Linked DNA regions of Lepisosteus oculatus. The protein of the gene in region 2 purifies or fractionates together with the protein of the main gene of each other region. This does not show direct contact. Links are inferred from orthologs where the notes say so. Each region holds a gene or a part of one and is shown on either strand. Other genes may lie near its edges.

Region 1 (6,855 bases), on a different chromosome or scaffold from region 2:
CAAAAGATATTTTAGTGCAACTGATCACAAAGCACACACGTTCCTGTTGGCTGGAAGACTGGGTGGTTTTAGTACATCTTGTTTGAAAGCGCAGTTACAAATTCCTTCCATCATTGGTACTCCAGCTGTCTTCTTCAGAATGTGTCGAGAAACATTTAATATCGCAATGCTTCTCCATTGTTCGGTGTTAAAGCTCCGAGTTGTGGACATTGTTTTAAATAACTGAAAGTCGCCTAAGCTAAGGCTTAGCAAGGTAAGTGAAAACGCTGTCCGTAGCATAGCAAAAAAAGCATTATTACCAGTTTACGACTATGAAACGGTTTTTGACATAAGCCTGCATAATACGTGCCATGTTAGGAAACTGTAAAGCCTATATAGCCTGTGTCCTGCTTACTAGGATGAAGTTTAGTTACGACGTTCACCTTCTGTATCTTGCTTTTCTATTAGTTTGGTATCTGTTGCTCTTACACTGTAAACATTCTCTTCACGGACCACTGCTGACTTGAGGGATGCAAATATCCTGTCGTTGTTTCGCTTGCGCTCTTAAAATGTAGCAGAGAAAACTGCCGTCATCGCATTAAATTCAGCGATACTTGTGTCTAAATCGAGCCGGATCTCTGATACCTACAAAAGCAGGTTAGCCGTGTCTTTCGGTCAGAGTTTATCCGTCAAAAAGAATAAATACGGGGGAAATGTAAGGCGTCCGGATTTACAAGTTCTAAAGAGAACCTTAAATCCACACTATCTACAGACGGTTCACCATTAATTGTTGACAACAATTAAGCCATCAAGTCACACAATTAAGTCATCAACGAGGTAAGAGTTACAAAGGAAAGAAGGCCATTTGATTAATGTTTTTGTTTTGTTGGTGGTAGATAATTGCTCCCAGAATCTTATCCAGTGGCATACCAGTCTCGGAGGGGGTTTTCCAGTGCACAGTAGTGCAAAGTGATTTCCTTCTTCTATCTAGAACATTTGCTAACATCCTGTCCTGTATTACCTGTGAGTATCTAGATTCATAAATAGAGGGTTGTGGTGTTCAAATCCCAGGCGTGATACTTCTGTTGTACCCTCGAACAAAGTACTGGAATTGCTCCGGTGAACTACTCTGCTGCTTAAATGAGTGCAAACATAAGTCGTTTTGAATCAACGTGTCAGCCAAATAAATTGGCAATTAAACGGGTATCTGTAACAAGTCTGCAGACTGTCCTGGAGTGAGATGAAGGGCACTGACTCCTTTGAAGAGCCCAAGTCCTAGGTGGAGCTTTCAGTCAGTGAGTACCGCTTACCTGTGCACAGGTGCCCCACCTCGGTCATTCAGACTCAGAACTGCGCTGTGATGTCCAGGACCAGGGTGTCTAGTTCAGGAGTGACCAGTCCTGGACCTGGAGGACTCCAGAGCAACAGGTTAGAAGTTATCCAGAAATGATTCTTTCCCTCAGTTTATTGGTGGGGGGGGTAATTTCGAGATCTGTTGGGATTAAAACCAATTAACCTCTCCAGAAACATTTGTCCTCCAGAACAAATGCTGCTACAAACGGAAGTCTGAGGATACAGCTCATTTTGCTTCTTGAGTTACTGGGAAGCGGGAGGCTTGGAGATCTCTTCCAGGGTTTTCTTAAAAGATCCCGGGGAATCTTTTGAAAATTTGTCCCGTTGGACTGCAGACACCCACGCTCCTTTCGTTACAGAGATGCTGCCCGACTTTGACCCAGATGCAGAATGTTTTCCATTTTCTCTTGTAACTCTGGCACCTGCGTGCCAACTTGTGTGCTGTTTCCATGTTGCTCACCATTTTAAACTCACGCAAAGCCTCCGTTGTTCAACCCTGAAGAGATTTAGCTCCTTGTCTTATGAGACCGTGCTCAGCGTCAGAATTAACCTTGTGACTCTTCTTTGAACGGAATCCAGAGCAGGAGTGTTTTTTTTTGGGAACCTGGTGACCACATTTGTGCATCTTATTCGACGCAAGTAAGTCATAGACGTTATATACAAGTGTATTGTATATCATATATCTTATCACTTTTAATAACTGCTTCTCCAATTCAGGGTTGTGGGGGTGATGGAGCCTATTCTGCAAGCAGCAGGCACAAGCCAGGATACACCCTGGACAGGACACCAGTCCATCTCACGGCACGCACGCTCACACCAGGGACAATTTTCCCAGAAGCCAGTTACCCTGCCAGTATGTCTTTGGACTGTGGGAAGACACCGGAGCACCCAGAGGAAACCCATGCTATCACAGGGGGGAACATGCAAACTCCACACAGACAGTACCCCAGGAAATGAACCCAGGGCTGCAAGGCAGTGGTGCTCATGACTGTGCCACCATGCCACCCTTATATCTGATCTTAATTTTCCATTCAGAAATCTACAATCCCCCCAAACCATTTGTTAGTGATGCTGCTTTTGCTGCATTTGATGTTGTATCAGGTAGGTTTCTCACTTTTCTGCTATGCTTTTCTCAGTATCGTAGTGAATTGTGGAGATGGCAAAGTTCCTGGACTTGGAAGTGTGAAGTGTTCTACTAAATTTAGACTACACTATCCTGAACTATTAGAAATGGGTCTTGCAGACTGGACTGTGGCGTTACTTTAGTACTGGTGTTATTTGTGGTGTCTCCTTAAACTTTCTCCTCAGCCCAGCAGGAGGAGAATTTTCTCACTGCGTCACCTATTCTGCTAGTGCTGATCTCTCAGGTGAGTCTGCTCTCCAGTGGTGGACAAAATGGGTCCCCTCCTATACATTGAGAGAGAAGAGTTTATTTGCGAGATGCACATGTAAATTCTCACAGTTCTCCTGTGACATGCACAGTACAATAGACAAAACCCCACAATCTGCACAGTCCATTACAAAAAAATAATAATGACAGCCACAACTGACTAACATACACAACAACATACTCAACGGTTTTTGCTATCTGATGTATTAATGAGATTTATGCAACTGATGCAATGTTGAGTAGTAAAATCGGTTTGTTGCAGTATCATGGACATGGGGAATGACCTCCAAGATATCAGACTCCAGCCGTGTAGTGGTTGATCAATTTCAGGTGTTGCTGTTGTGCTGATGCAGCTGAAAAGCAGTCTTAATTAAACCAATTTAACTTGTCTTTGCGTAGGGATACAGTGTTTTTACAGTATTTGCAATAGCCTGCACCTTCAAAGATTAAAATAGGCACAAACTGTTGCAACGGCGAGCCGTTTTCTGTTTGGGAGCATTTGCTATTTTTTTTGTGGGGGAAAAACACAACTATAATTAAACGATACGATGTGCTACGCGAATGTATCATCTTTACAGCGTAATACGCACATTGGTAGACTTTTCACAAATATGACTATAAAGACGTTGCGTGTATCATCCGACAAGGTTATTGAAAAGTGAGTTTATTTTTGTCGGTTTGCTAGAGACCATTTGGATTAGCATGGGAAAATAAATTTTTTTGGACATATAATAATAATTGCTTACACTTATATAGCGCTTTTCTGGACACTCCACTCAAAGCGCTTTACAGGTAATGGGGACTCCCCTCCACCACCATCAATGTGCAGAAAATTAACAGAGTGATCTGAGCATTTACTGGAAATGCTCAGATCACATACTTTGGCCGCTTGATCAGAGTCTGTACAACGCATTCCTAGAAACAATTCAATGAGAACACCCCCTTTCGAAGCGTTTCACACACGCTACACGTCCGTAACACCCGTCTAAACAACCCTTTTCAATTCGAGACATTCGGGTATTTCCGCCCCTAGAGGCATCTTCGTCAGTTTCCGTGTGACGCACGGCAGAGCCGTGCGTAGGGCGTGATTGCGCGGCCCCTCCCCCTCGCGGTCTATCTGGAAAAAAAACTTTTTGTATCGAAGGAATCAACAGCCGCCATCTTGTCGCGGCTCGGAGTCAGGATTTCGGGAGAGCATTATTTTTTATTGAGAACCGGAACATCCGAACCGAGGCCAAACGGGTTTCTTCTGCCGAAAACGAAAAGCTTAGACGCCTTCGAAGACATTTCGTGAGAAAAAACGGAGATTGGGTCGGTTTTCATCGGCCAGAAAACCCCCCATATATCTGATTTCCCCTTCAGAAAGCGCCGCTTCGCTCCGTATCTTGGTTCGCAGCCGTATTGTTTACCGGGAGCAGCCGGCGGACAGACAGCGGGGAAGGGGCGAAATAGCGCCGTGAAATATTTTTTTTTTGCACCGGCGCATTTTTTTCGCCGGCAGAAGGGGGTTTTTAGGCAATTAAATTGACGTCAGAAAAAAGGGGGTATTTAAAGATGCGAATTTAGCGCACTCCGCAGGCACGAAAACGACCAAAAAATCCATCGGGGAGATCGTATTTAATTTTTTGTGCCCTTTGTTCCTTCGAAAAAAATATTTTTCATCGGAGGTAATTATTATTGATAATAATGTGGGTGTTGGGTGTTGGATTATCATGGGGTGAATGGTTTTGGCGAAGCGGGGCGCTGTAGCTACTTTTTTGAGAATTTCGCCTTGATTATTTCGCTCCTGCAAACGGAGAGTAGAGAGGAGGCGAGCGTGGAGGGGTTGCTCTCTTTTTGGTTTTGATTTTTTTCTCGGGGGGTGGGGATTATTATTATTATTTTTTGGGGGGCCACCGATCCCTCCCCCCCCCCTATTTAGAAAAAAAAATAACCCAATCACATCTAACGATCCGAGTCGATCGCCATGGCCGAGAACCTGCTTGACGTCGGACCTCCCAACCCGAAGCGGCCGAAGCTGAATTCACCTGCCCTGTCCGCCTCCGACGGTCCAGGTAAGGCCCGACTGCCCCCCGGCTCCCCGGCGTGACAGTGTCACCGCCGGCGTGTGCGACACGGCTCCGTGCGCACCTTTGCATCGCAATACTTTCCTTCTGGAGTGTGTGCGTGTGCGTATCGCCTTTGGGTGGTGGTGCTGGTGTCTCTTCTGAACTGGGGCTCGATCGGGAGCACCCCGGCTGTGCCTCTTGCTGGGCGCTGCGCGCAATCGGCTCCCCGCTCTTGTGGTGCCAAGGCTGGGCGGCAGAGGCGTGGAAACGGGGAAGGTGTGCGTTTTGCCCGTGTGCTGGGTCTCCGCCGTGTGCATGGCCCGGCTGCAGGGGACAGTGTTTGGTGGGTGGTGGCGGTGTGCCTTTCGGCGTTATGAGATTTTTTTCCCCTATGCCAAAAAATGAGCATGCCCCCCCCCACCACCACCACCACCACCTACACCGTCTCCTCTACCGACCCTCTGATGCCCCGCTTCGTGTCGGTTGGTGGTCGGCTGCAAAACAGACTCTTTGACGTCGCGATTTGAGGTGCCGATGTCAGATGCGTTTTTTGTTTGTTTGTTGTGCGGTTGAATGTGGTGGTCGTAGCCAGGTTTTGATCGAGAAAAGTCCCCGTGGTGGTGGCGTTTGTTGTCGACTCTGCACGGCAGCGAGATGTGGTGCCGTGCGTCAAAATTCATACTCCCCCCCACCCCCCTACAAAAAATATTGAAGTGACCGCGGGGACTCGCTGGACAGCTCCCTGTCCTTTCATGTTGGGCAAGATCGTGGCCTTTCGTAGGAGACCTGGGTGCAGCCGTGCCGTTGACAGCGGACCACCTGGGCAGCGCCAGCAGCCTGCGCTTCACAAGCCGAGGATGGACATGCAAGAGCATGACAAGAGCGACGTCTTGTATTGCTCTTCCCCCTCTCGGTATCCGAAACGATCCACCCCCCTGCCCCGGTGCCGAAGCGGCGGCCGGGCCCCCTGGCGCTGGGTCCCGGGTCCTGGCCGGAGCCGGAGTTTGTTGCCCGGGAGGCGGTGTTTCATTGCAAGGCGAAGCGGCTATGACACCGGCAGGGAGAAGCGTGCATCGGGTGTAGCGCTGGAGGGGAGGGCTTGCGCCTGTCAGTCAGCGGCTGAGCCACTGATCGATCTGATTGACACGGCTGGTTTGAGAAACGGTGGTGGTGGACGGGACTCCGGGCTGGGTCGCACCCGGTTGGTTGGTCGGTCGTCGGAGTCTGTCCCGCGTGTGGTTTGTGGATCCTCCACCCTGCCCGTCCCTCCACCCCTCCTCCCGATCTGATCGCCAAAACACTGTTTAATTCGGGGATCCCCTCAGTTCTGCTTTCTGAAAACGAAACGGTTTGGTCTGTGTCCTGTAAGCCGAGGGGGGCGTGACGCCGTGCGCTCTTGGCCGGAGACAGGAGCTCCGCTGGCGCTCCTGGCGTGCCCCTGCAGGCTGTGTGGAGGGAGATCTCTCGGCCTGGGAGGGTGGAAACTCTCGTATGTTAGCTTTCCACAAGTGTGCAGACCCTCGCTGTGCTGTCGGACAACCGGTGCGCCATCCCAACCGGTCACGACGGGCAACAGTGCCGGGGAAAGTCACGCCGGTACGGTGCTGGCATCTCGATTGCGCGTAAGCTGACGTGGGCGTGGAGGCAGGAGAGCGCTGTAATTTGAAAGCTGCTGTGATTGGTCGGATCGGAATCATTAAAAGTGAACTTTAACAGCTTGTGCTTGGACTATAGCCGTCCATTGTCTACCTAATTAAGGGGGCATTTGACGGATTTAAAGCCCAGCGCCTGCTGTCAGTCTGGGTTTAGGAGAGCGACACTTGCACGTTTTTCCACGGCTTAAGGTCTGATTCAGTTATATTCATTGAGCGGTCATGCCAGAAGAGTGAACTAAGTTCCCATTTGCGTTAATTGTGTTTTCTATCCAGCAAAGAGAGGCTTTTCTGGGTTTTAAACATTACCTTGTGCCAGCAAGTGCGTTGTTAAAACGTGTATTGGTCTATTTAAAATACACTTTCACTGTATCTGGACCCTTTTCAACTTTAGAATAACAGAAATATCCCTACCCTCCGTTTTACTGTTCCA
Region 2 (7,611 bases):
GTGCCCCTGAACATCGCAGGTACTGATTAACACCCTCCTTAACGAGCCAGCGTTACCCTGAACATCGCAGGTACTGATTAACACCCTCCTTAACGAGCCAGCATGACCCTGAACATCGCAGGTACTGATTAACACCCTCCTTAACGAGCCAGTGTGCCCCTGAACATCGCAGGTACCGATTAACACCCTCCTTAACGAGCCAGCATGACCCTGAACATCGCAGGTACCGATTAACACCCTCCTTAACGAGCCAGTGTGACCCTGAACATCGCAGGTACTGATTAACACCCTCCTTAACGAGCCAGTGTGACCCTGAACATCGCAGGTACCGATTAACACCCTCCTTAACGAGCCAGTGTGACCCTGAGCATCGCAGGTACCGATTAACACCCTCCTTAACGAGCCAGTGTGCCCCTGAGCATCGCAGGTACCGATTAACACCCTCCTTAACGAGCCAGTGTGCCCCTGAGCATCGCAGGTACTGATTAACACCCTCCTTAACGAGCCAGTGTGACCCTGAGCATCGCAGGTACCGATTAATACCCTCCTTAATGAGCCAGTGTGCCCCTGAACATCGCAGGTACCGATTAACACCCTCCTTAACGAGCCAGCATGACCCTGAACATCGCAGGTACCGATTAACACCCTCCTTAACGAGCCAGTGTGCCCCTGAACATCGCAGGTACCGATTAATACCCTCCTTAATGAGCCAGTGTGCCCCTGAACATCGCAGGTACCGATTAACACCCTCCTTAACGAGCCAGCATGACCCTGAACATCGCAGGTACCGATTAACACCCTTCTTAACGAGCCAGCATGACCCTGAACATCGCAGGTACCGATTAACACCCTCCTTAATGAGCCAGTGCGACCCTGAATGTCCTTGTTCCTGCTGTGGTTAACTGCCCACTCTGTGAGCGAGTCACACTCTCACAGCGCCCCCTGCCTGTCGGTGTGAGTCAGTGAGTGAGTGTTGGGGTGCGAGAGGCCCTCACGGCGCCCCCTGCCTGTCGGTGTGAATCAGTGAGTCAGTGTTGGGGTGCGAGAGGCCCTCACAGCGCCCCCTGCCTGTCGGTGTGAGTCAGTGAGTGAGTGTTGGGGTGCGAGAGGCCCTCACGGCGCCCCCTGCCTGTCGGTGTGAATCAGTGAGTCAGTGTTGGGGTGCGAGAGGCCCTCACAGCGCCCCCTGCCTGTCAGTGTGAGTCAGTGAGTCAGTGAGTGAGTGTTGGGGTGCGAGAGGCCCTCACAGCGCCCCCTGCCTGTCTCCGCAGGTGTCGGCGGCCCCACAGTGGAGGACTCCATGGCCATGGTGGCTGTGGCCCTGCTGCTGTACGGCCTCATCAAGATCGTCAGCTGGACCCTGAAGACCACAGGTCTTTATCGGCTCGTTATCCATCGCCTTGTCATTCCCAGTGTGTGTGACCTCATTCACACTGTCCCAGTGTGTGTGTGTGACCTCATTCACACTGTCCCAGTGTGTGTGACTTCATTCACACTGTCCCAGTATGAGTGTGTGTGACCTCATTCACACTGCCCCAGTGTGTGTGTGTGACCTCATTCACACTGTCCCAGTGTGTGTTTGTGACATCATTCACACTGTCCCAGTGTGAGTGTGTGACCTCATTCACACTGTCCCAGTATGAGTGTGTGTGACCTCATTAACACTGTCCCAGTGTGTGTGTGTGACCTCATTCACACTGTCCCAGTATGAGTGTGTGTGAACTCATTCACACTGTCCCAGTGTGTGTGTGACCTCATTCACACTGTCCCAGTATGAGTGTGTGTGACCTCATTCACACTGTCCCAGTGTGTGTGACCTCATTAACACTGTCCCAGTGTGTGTGACCTCATTAACACTGTCCCAGTGTGTGTGTGTGACCTCATTCACACTGCCCCAGTGTGTGTGTGGGTGACCTCATTAACACTTTCCCAGTATGAGTGTGTGTGACATCATTAACACTGTCCCAGTGCGTGTGACCTCATTCACACTGTCCCAGTGTGTGTGACATCATTCACACTGTCCCAGTATGAGTGTGTGTGACCTCATTAACACTGTCCCAGTGTGTGTGACCTCATTCACACTGTCCCAGTATGAGTGTGTGTGACATCATTAATACTGTCCCAGTGTGTGTGTGATGTCAGAGGTGTCTGGGCAGCGGTGAGCCTCAGGGCAGCCCTGTGTCTCTGCTGGTGCTGACTGTGTGTCTGTCTGTCTGTCCACAGACTCCAGTGTCCCAGAGGAGCCGGAGAAGGTAAGACTGACTCTCACACGCTCGCTCACTCCCTCTCTCACTCTCCTCTCACCCCTCTGTCTCACCCCTCTCTCTCACTCCCTCTCTCCTCTCACCCCTCTGTCTCACCCCTCTTTCTCACTCCCTCTCTCCTCCCACCTCTCTGTCTCACCCCTCTCTCTCACTCTCCTCTCACCTCTCTGTCCCACCCCCTCTCTCACCCTCTCACTCCTGTCCAGCCTCAGTGTCTCCTCACCTCTGTCTCACTCTCTCTCAGAAGCAGGAGTGATCGCAGGCGGACAGACTCCTCTCTCCAGGTGAGTGAGTCACACACACACTCACACTGCCTTAAAACACACACTCACACTGCCTTACAACACACACACTCCTCACACACACACTCACACTGCCTTAAAACACACACAGTCCTCACACACACACTCACACTGCTTTAAAACACACACACTCCTCACACACACACTCACACTGCCTTACAACACACACACTCCTCACACAAACACTCACACTGCCTTAAAACACACACTCCTCACACTGCCTTAAAACACACACTCCTCACACATACACACTGCTTTAAAACACACACACTCCTCACACATACACACTGCTTTAAAACACACACACTCCTCACACATACACTCACACTGCTTTAAAACACACACACTCCTCACACTGCCTTAAAACACACACACTCCTCACACATACACACTGCTTTAAAACACACACACTCCTCACACACACACTCACACTGCTTTAAAACACACACACTCCTCACACTGCCTTAAAACACACACACTCCTCACACATACACACTGCTTTAAAACACACACACTCCTCACACACACACTGCCTTAAAACACACACACTCCTCGCACACCTCCTGATCACACGAGCAGAGCCGTCGTCACCATCGTCATCGTCACCCCACGGCTGGCCCGGTGTCCTCTCACCTGCCCCGCCTCTCTCGGTCTCTCTCCTCCCAGACCTTCCAGAGGAGAACGCCAGGCTGGTCTCACTCTCCGGGGAGAGTGTGTCTCACACTGACTGGAGTGCGTCTACAGAGTGTGAGAGAGTGAGAGAGTGTCTACAGAGTGTGAGAGAGTGAGAGTGTATAGTGTGAGAGAGTGTCTACAGAGTGTGAGAGAGTGAGAGTGTATAGTGTGAGAGAGTGTCTACATTGTGTGAGAGAGTGAGAGTGTATAGTGTGAGAGAGTGAGAGAGTGTACAGTGTGTGTGAGAGTGTATAGTGTGAGAGAGTGAGAGAGTGTACAGTGTGTGTGAGAGAGTGAATCGTTTTGTTTCAGTATGACAGTATATGCAGAACGGACTGTTCCATTTCTTGTGTGCGCGGGGGGGAGCTGTACTGTGACAGCAGGCAGGGATGTTCCTGAAAACAATCGCTGTATCTCTCCAGCCTCTCAACATGCGCTCTAGACAGTCAAGGCAAGAGCACAGTTTCACGCTGAGAAACGCCCCTCACCCATACCGCTCCGGTGTTGCACTAGACTGTGAACATCCCTCCTGCTCTGGCGGTCGTGGGCAGGTCCGCCAGCGCGCCTCAGCTCAGCTCAGCTCAGCTCAGCTCAGCTCCGGCCTGCGTCGGTGGTGATCTCCGGCCTGCAGCTGTCGCCTCCGATCGAGACCGTGCGTCACCAGGGGGGGACTGTTTTCGAGGGGAACTGTAGTTCCCGGCAGCCGGTTGTCGGGGGGACAGGGCTGAGGTGACGCGCGCGCTCTCTCTCTCTCTCATCAGAGGTCCAGTGTAATTAACCCTTCCTGCTGTGTCCTTGGCTTCGCAATGTCACGGGATTTTGGTTTTGCTTGCCGAGCGAGTGGTCTAATAAAGGTTTTATTCTTTGATCCGAGTCCCGCGCCCTCTGTCTGTGCAGTTTGGAGTCCCCTTCACAGTGGCTGTTGCTGCTGTACTGGCGCCAGCCGAGCCCAGGTCAATTACACGGGCCTGAGGGACCGACAGGCGTCAAGCGGCCTGCCTGGTTTGGGCCGCCGGGCTCGATTCTGGAACGGGAGACCTTCCCTGTGGAGTCTGCGCGTTCCCCTCGGAGGGTCCCTGACTCACTGGACACGCTGAGTGGGTAAACCTGGTGTCTCCGAACTCGTGCCTGGAATTCAGGAAGATTGAAAAACGGGAACAGATTTAAAAATAAAAAAAATAATTTTAAGATCCACCACGGACCTGAAATCAGACAACTCCTTAAGCTGTACGGCAAAGGGAGCCGCCATGTCCGGTTACGGCACGACGTGACCTCTGACCCGTTCCGGCGACGTTGCTCCTGCGCCGTCATCCTTTGTGCCTCCAGCCTCCGCCTCCCCCCCTCCTGCCCACCAATCAGCGGCGGCGTTACTGCGGCGCGGCCAATGGCATCGCGCCGTGCTGCGGGGCGGCGGAGTTCAGAGGCCGGAGACGAAGCGGGTAAGTAGTTTTCCTGGGAGTCCGGGTGGCTCTGTTTTTATTTTTTATTCTTTATTCTGCCGCGCCCCCCGCCTCCTGCCCCCCCTCCCCCCCCGGGTCTCGCCGCGGCTCGGTTCGGAGAGGAGACGGGAGACGGCGCAGGGGGCGGCCGCTCTGGGTCTCTGCTTTTATAAAATAATAAAACTGAAACTGAGACCCGTGAGCGAGCGAGCGAGCGAGAGAGAGGTGTGTTGGGGAAGCGAAGCTCGGGCGTCGGTCTGGTGACCCCGGGTGGGACAGTCCCAGCCCGGTTCTGGCCCGGGGGTCCCCGCCAGGCGCCGATCCATCCCCCGGTCCCGGCCCGGTCCTGCCCGCTCGCCTGTCTCGGGAGTAGCTGGGCCCTCTGCCGGTCCCGGTTCTGCTCCACTGCGCTCCAGGCTGGGGGAGGGTGGTGGGTGCGGATGACAGGCGGAACCGGGCCGCTGCCGGAACAGGACTGAGTCCTGGGGTGTCTCTGGGGTCCCCTGTGTGTGATCTCCCTGTTGGGGGTACACTGTCAGGACCGGACTGCTGCTCCTGGTCCAGGAGAGAGGAGGGCAGATCGGAGGGTGTGATTCTGGGGTGTCTCTGGGGTCCCCTGTGTGTGTTCTCAGTGTCGGGGGGAGAGAGGGGGGTGTGATTCTGGGGTATCTCTGGGGTCCCCTGTGTGTGTTCTCAGTGTCGGGGGGAGACAGGAGGGTGTGATTCTGGGGTCCTCTGTGTGTATTCTCAGTGTCGGGGGGAAAGAGGAGGGTGTGATTCTGGGGTGTCTCTGGGGTCCCCTGTGTGTGTTCTCAGTATCGGGCGGGGAAGAGAGGAGGGTGTGATTCTGGGGTGTCTCTGGGGTCCCCTGTGTGTGTTCTCAGTATCGGGGTGGGGAAGAGAGTAGGGTGTGATTCTGGGGTGTTTCTGGGGTCCCCTGTGAGTGTTTTCAGTGTCAGGGGGGAAGAGAGGAGGGTGTGATTCTGGGGTGTCTCTGGGGTCCCCTGTGTGTGTTCTCAGTGTCAGAGGGGAGACAGGAGGGTGTGATTCTGGGGTGTCTCTGGGGTCCCCTGTGTGTGTTCTCAGTGTTGGGGGGTGAGAGGAGGGTGTGATTCTGGGGTGTCTCTGGGGTCCCCTGTGTGTGTTCTCAGTGTTGGGGAGCGGGGGGCTCAGTTAGTGCCCCCAGTCCGGCGCCGGGCTGTACCAGGAGGGCCGGTTCTGATCTCAGCAGTTACTCAGCTCTCCCAGGCGGGGCTCTGACCCGGGACCTGTCTCCTCCCTCTCTCCAGCCCCCGTCCGGACCGGTCCAGATCGCCATGGCGACGGTGGACAGCATCGTGATCCTGGATGACGACGAGGAGGAAGAGGAGGAAGAGCAGGAGCGGCCTCAGCACCCCGCCCCCTCGCCGCCCCTCGAACCCGGGCCCTCCCACATCACGCACTCGCCCTTCGACGCCCGAGAGAGAGGCAGCAACACCACACGGCTGGAGAACAACCAGCTTTTCTCTGAGGTCAGAGACTGTCCACCTCCCCTCCCTCTCTCAGTGCAGAGTGTCCAGTCAGTGTGTCTGTATGAACCCCTCTCTCAGTGCAGTGTTCATGTACTGGAGTGTCCAGTCAGTGTGTCTGTATGAACCCCTCTCTCTCTCAGTGCAGTGTTCATGTACTGGAGTGTCCAGTCAGTGTGTGTGTATGAACCCCTCTCTCTCAGTGCAGTGTTCATGTACTGGAGTGTCCAGTCAGTGTGTGTGTGTGTGAACCCCTCTCTCTCTCAGTGCAGTGTTCATGTACTGGAGTGTCCAGTCAGTGTGTGTGTATGAACCCCTCTCTCTCTCAGTGCAGTGTTCATGTACTGGAGTGTCCAGTCAGTGTGTCTGTGTGAACCCCTCTCTCTCTCAGTGCAGTGTTCATGTACTGGAGTGTCCAGTCAGTGTGTGTGTATGAACCCCTCTCTCTCTCAGTGCAGTGTTCATGTACTGGAGTGTCCAGTCAGTGTGTGTGTGTGAACCCCTCTCTCTCTCAGTGCAGTGTTAATGTACTGGAGTGTCCAGTCAGTGTGTGTGTGAACCCCTCTCTCTCTCAGTGCAGTGTTCATGTACTGGAGTGTCCAGTCAGTGTGTCTGTATGAACCCCTCTCTCTCTCAGTGCAGTGTTCATGTACTGGAGTGTCCAGTCAGTGTGTCTGTATGAACCCCTCTCTCTCTCTCTCAGTTTGTAGAGTACTGCTCCAGTCTGACCCGAGACAACCCGGAAGTGATCCCCTACCTGTTGTCCAAGCACTCCAAGGCCAGCCCGGACTTCCTGGGCTCGGTCGAGTTCCGGAACCGGCTGGGCCGCTGCCTGACCCGGGTCCAGAGCAAGCGGGCCAAGACCTACGTGTACATCAACGAGCTGTGCACCGTCCTGAAGCAGCACAGCGCCTCCCGCAGGCGCCCGGCCCTGCTGCGGCCCGCGCAGACGCCCGCGCAGACGCCCGCCGCGCCGGGCGCCGAGGAGCGCGCAGAGGGAGCGCCGCTGGAGCAGCAGGAGCCCCCTGGGCAGCCGGCTCGGCCCAGGGCTTCCAGGAGACAGGTGAGCGCAGAGAGAGGGAGACAGGTGAGCTCAGAGAGGGGGAGACAGGTGAGCTCTGAGAGAGAGACAGGTGAGCGCAGGGAGAGAGGGAGACAGGTGAGCGCCCTAACCCCTAACCCTAGAGGGGGAGACAGGTGAGCGCAGGGAGAGAGAGAGACAGGTGAGCGCCGAGAGAGGGAGACAGGTGAGCGCAGAGAGGGGGAGACAGGTGAGCTCTGAGAGAGAGACAGGTGAGCGCAGGGAGAGAGGGGGACAGGTGAGCGCAGGGAGAGAGGGAGACAGTTGAGCGCAGAGAGGGGAGAGGGAGACAGGTGAGCTCCGAGAGAGAGAGAGAGGGGAGAGGGAGTCAGGTGAGCCCCG

Evidence for each region.
Region 1: the proteins of daxx (region 2) and crebbpa purify together in Homo sapiens (affinity purification with western blotting; 3 studies listed by BioGRID and IntAct, with this or other methods). This does not show direct contact. The link is inferred for Lepisosteus oculatus from reciprocal best matches to the Homo sapiens genes DAXX and CREBBP.

Annotation. Positions count from the first base shown.
Region 1 is NC_090714.1:3,324,981-3,331,835, reverse strand, and holds the start of crebbpa (CREB-binding protein), read left to right. Parts: upstream 1-3,853; 5' UTR 3,854-4,688; coding exon 4,689-4,776; intron 4,777-6,855. UniProt on the Homo sapiens protein: Acetylates histones, giving a specific tag for transcriptional activation. Mediates acetylation of histone H3 at 'Lys-18' and 'Lys-27' (H3K18ac and H3K27ac, respectively).
Region 2 is NC_090709.1:38,547,101-38,554,711, reverse strand, and holds the start of daxx (death domain-associated protein 6), read left to right. Parts: upstream 1-4,594; 5' UTR 4,595-4,680; intron 4,681-4,791; exon of another isoform or gene 4,792-4,837; intron 4,838-5,111; exon of another isoform or gene 5,112-5,116; intron 5,117-5,969; 5' UTR 5,970-5,996; coding exon 5,997-6,191; intron 6,192-6,891; coding exon 6,892-7,251; intron 7,252-7,611. UniProt on the Homo sapiens protein: Transcription corepressor known to repress transcriptional potential of several sumoylated transcription factors. Down-regulates basal and activated transcription.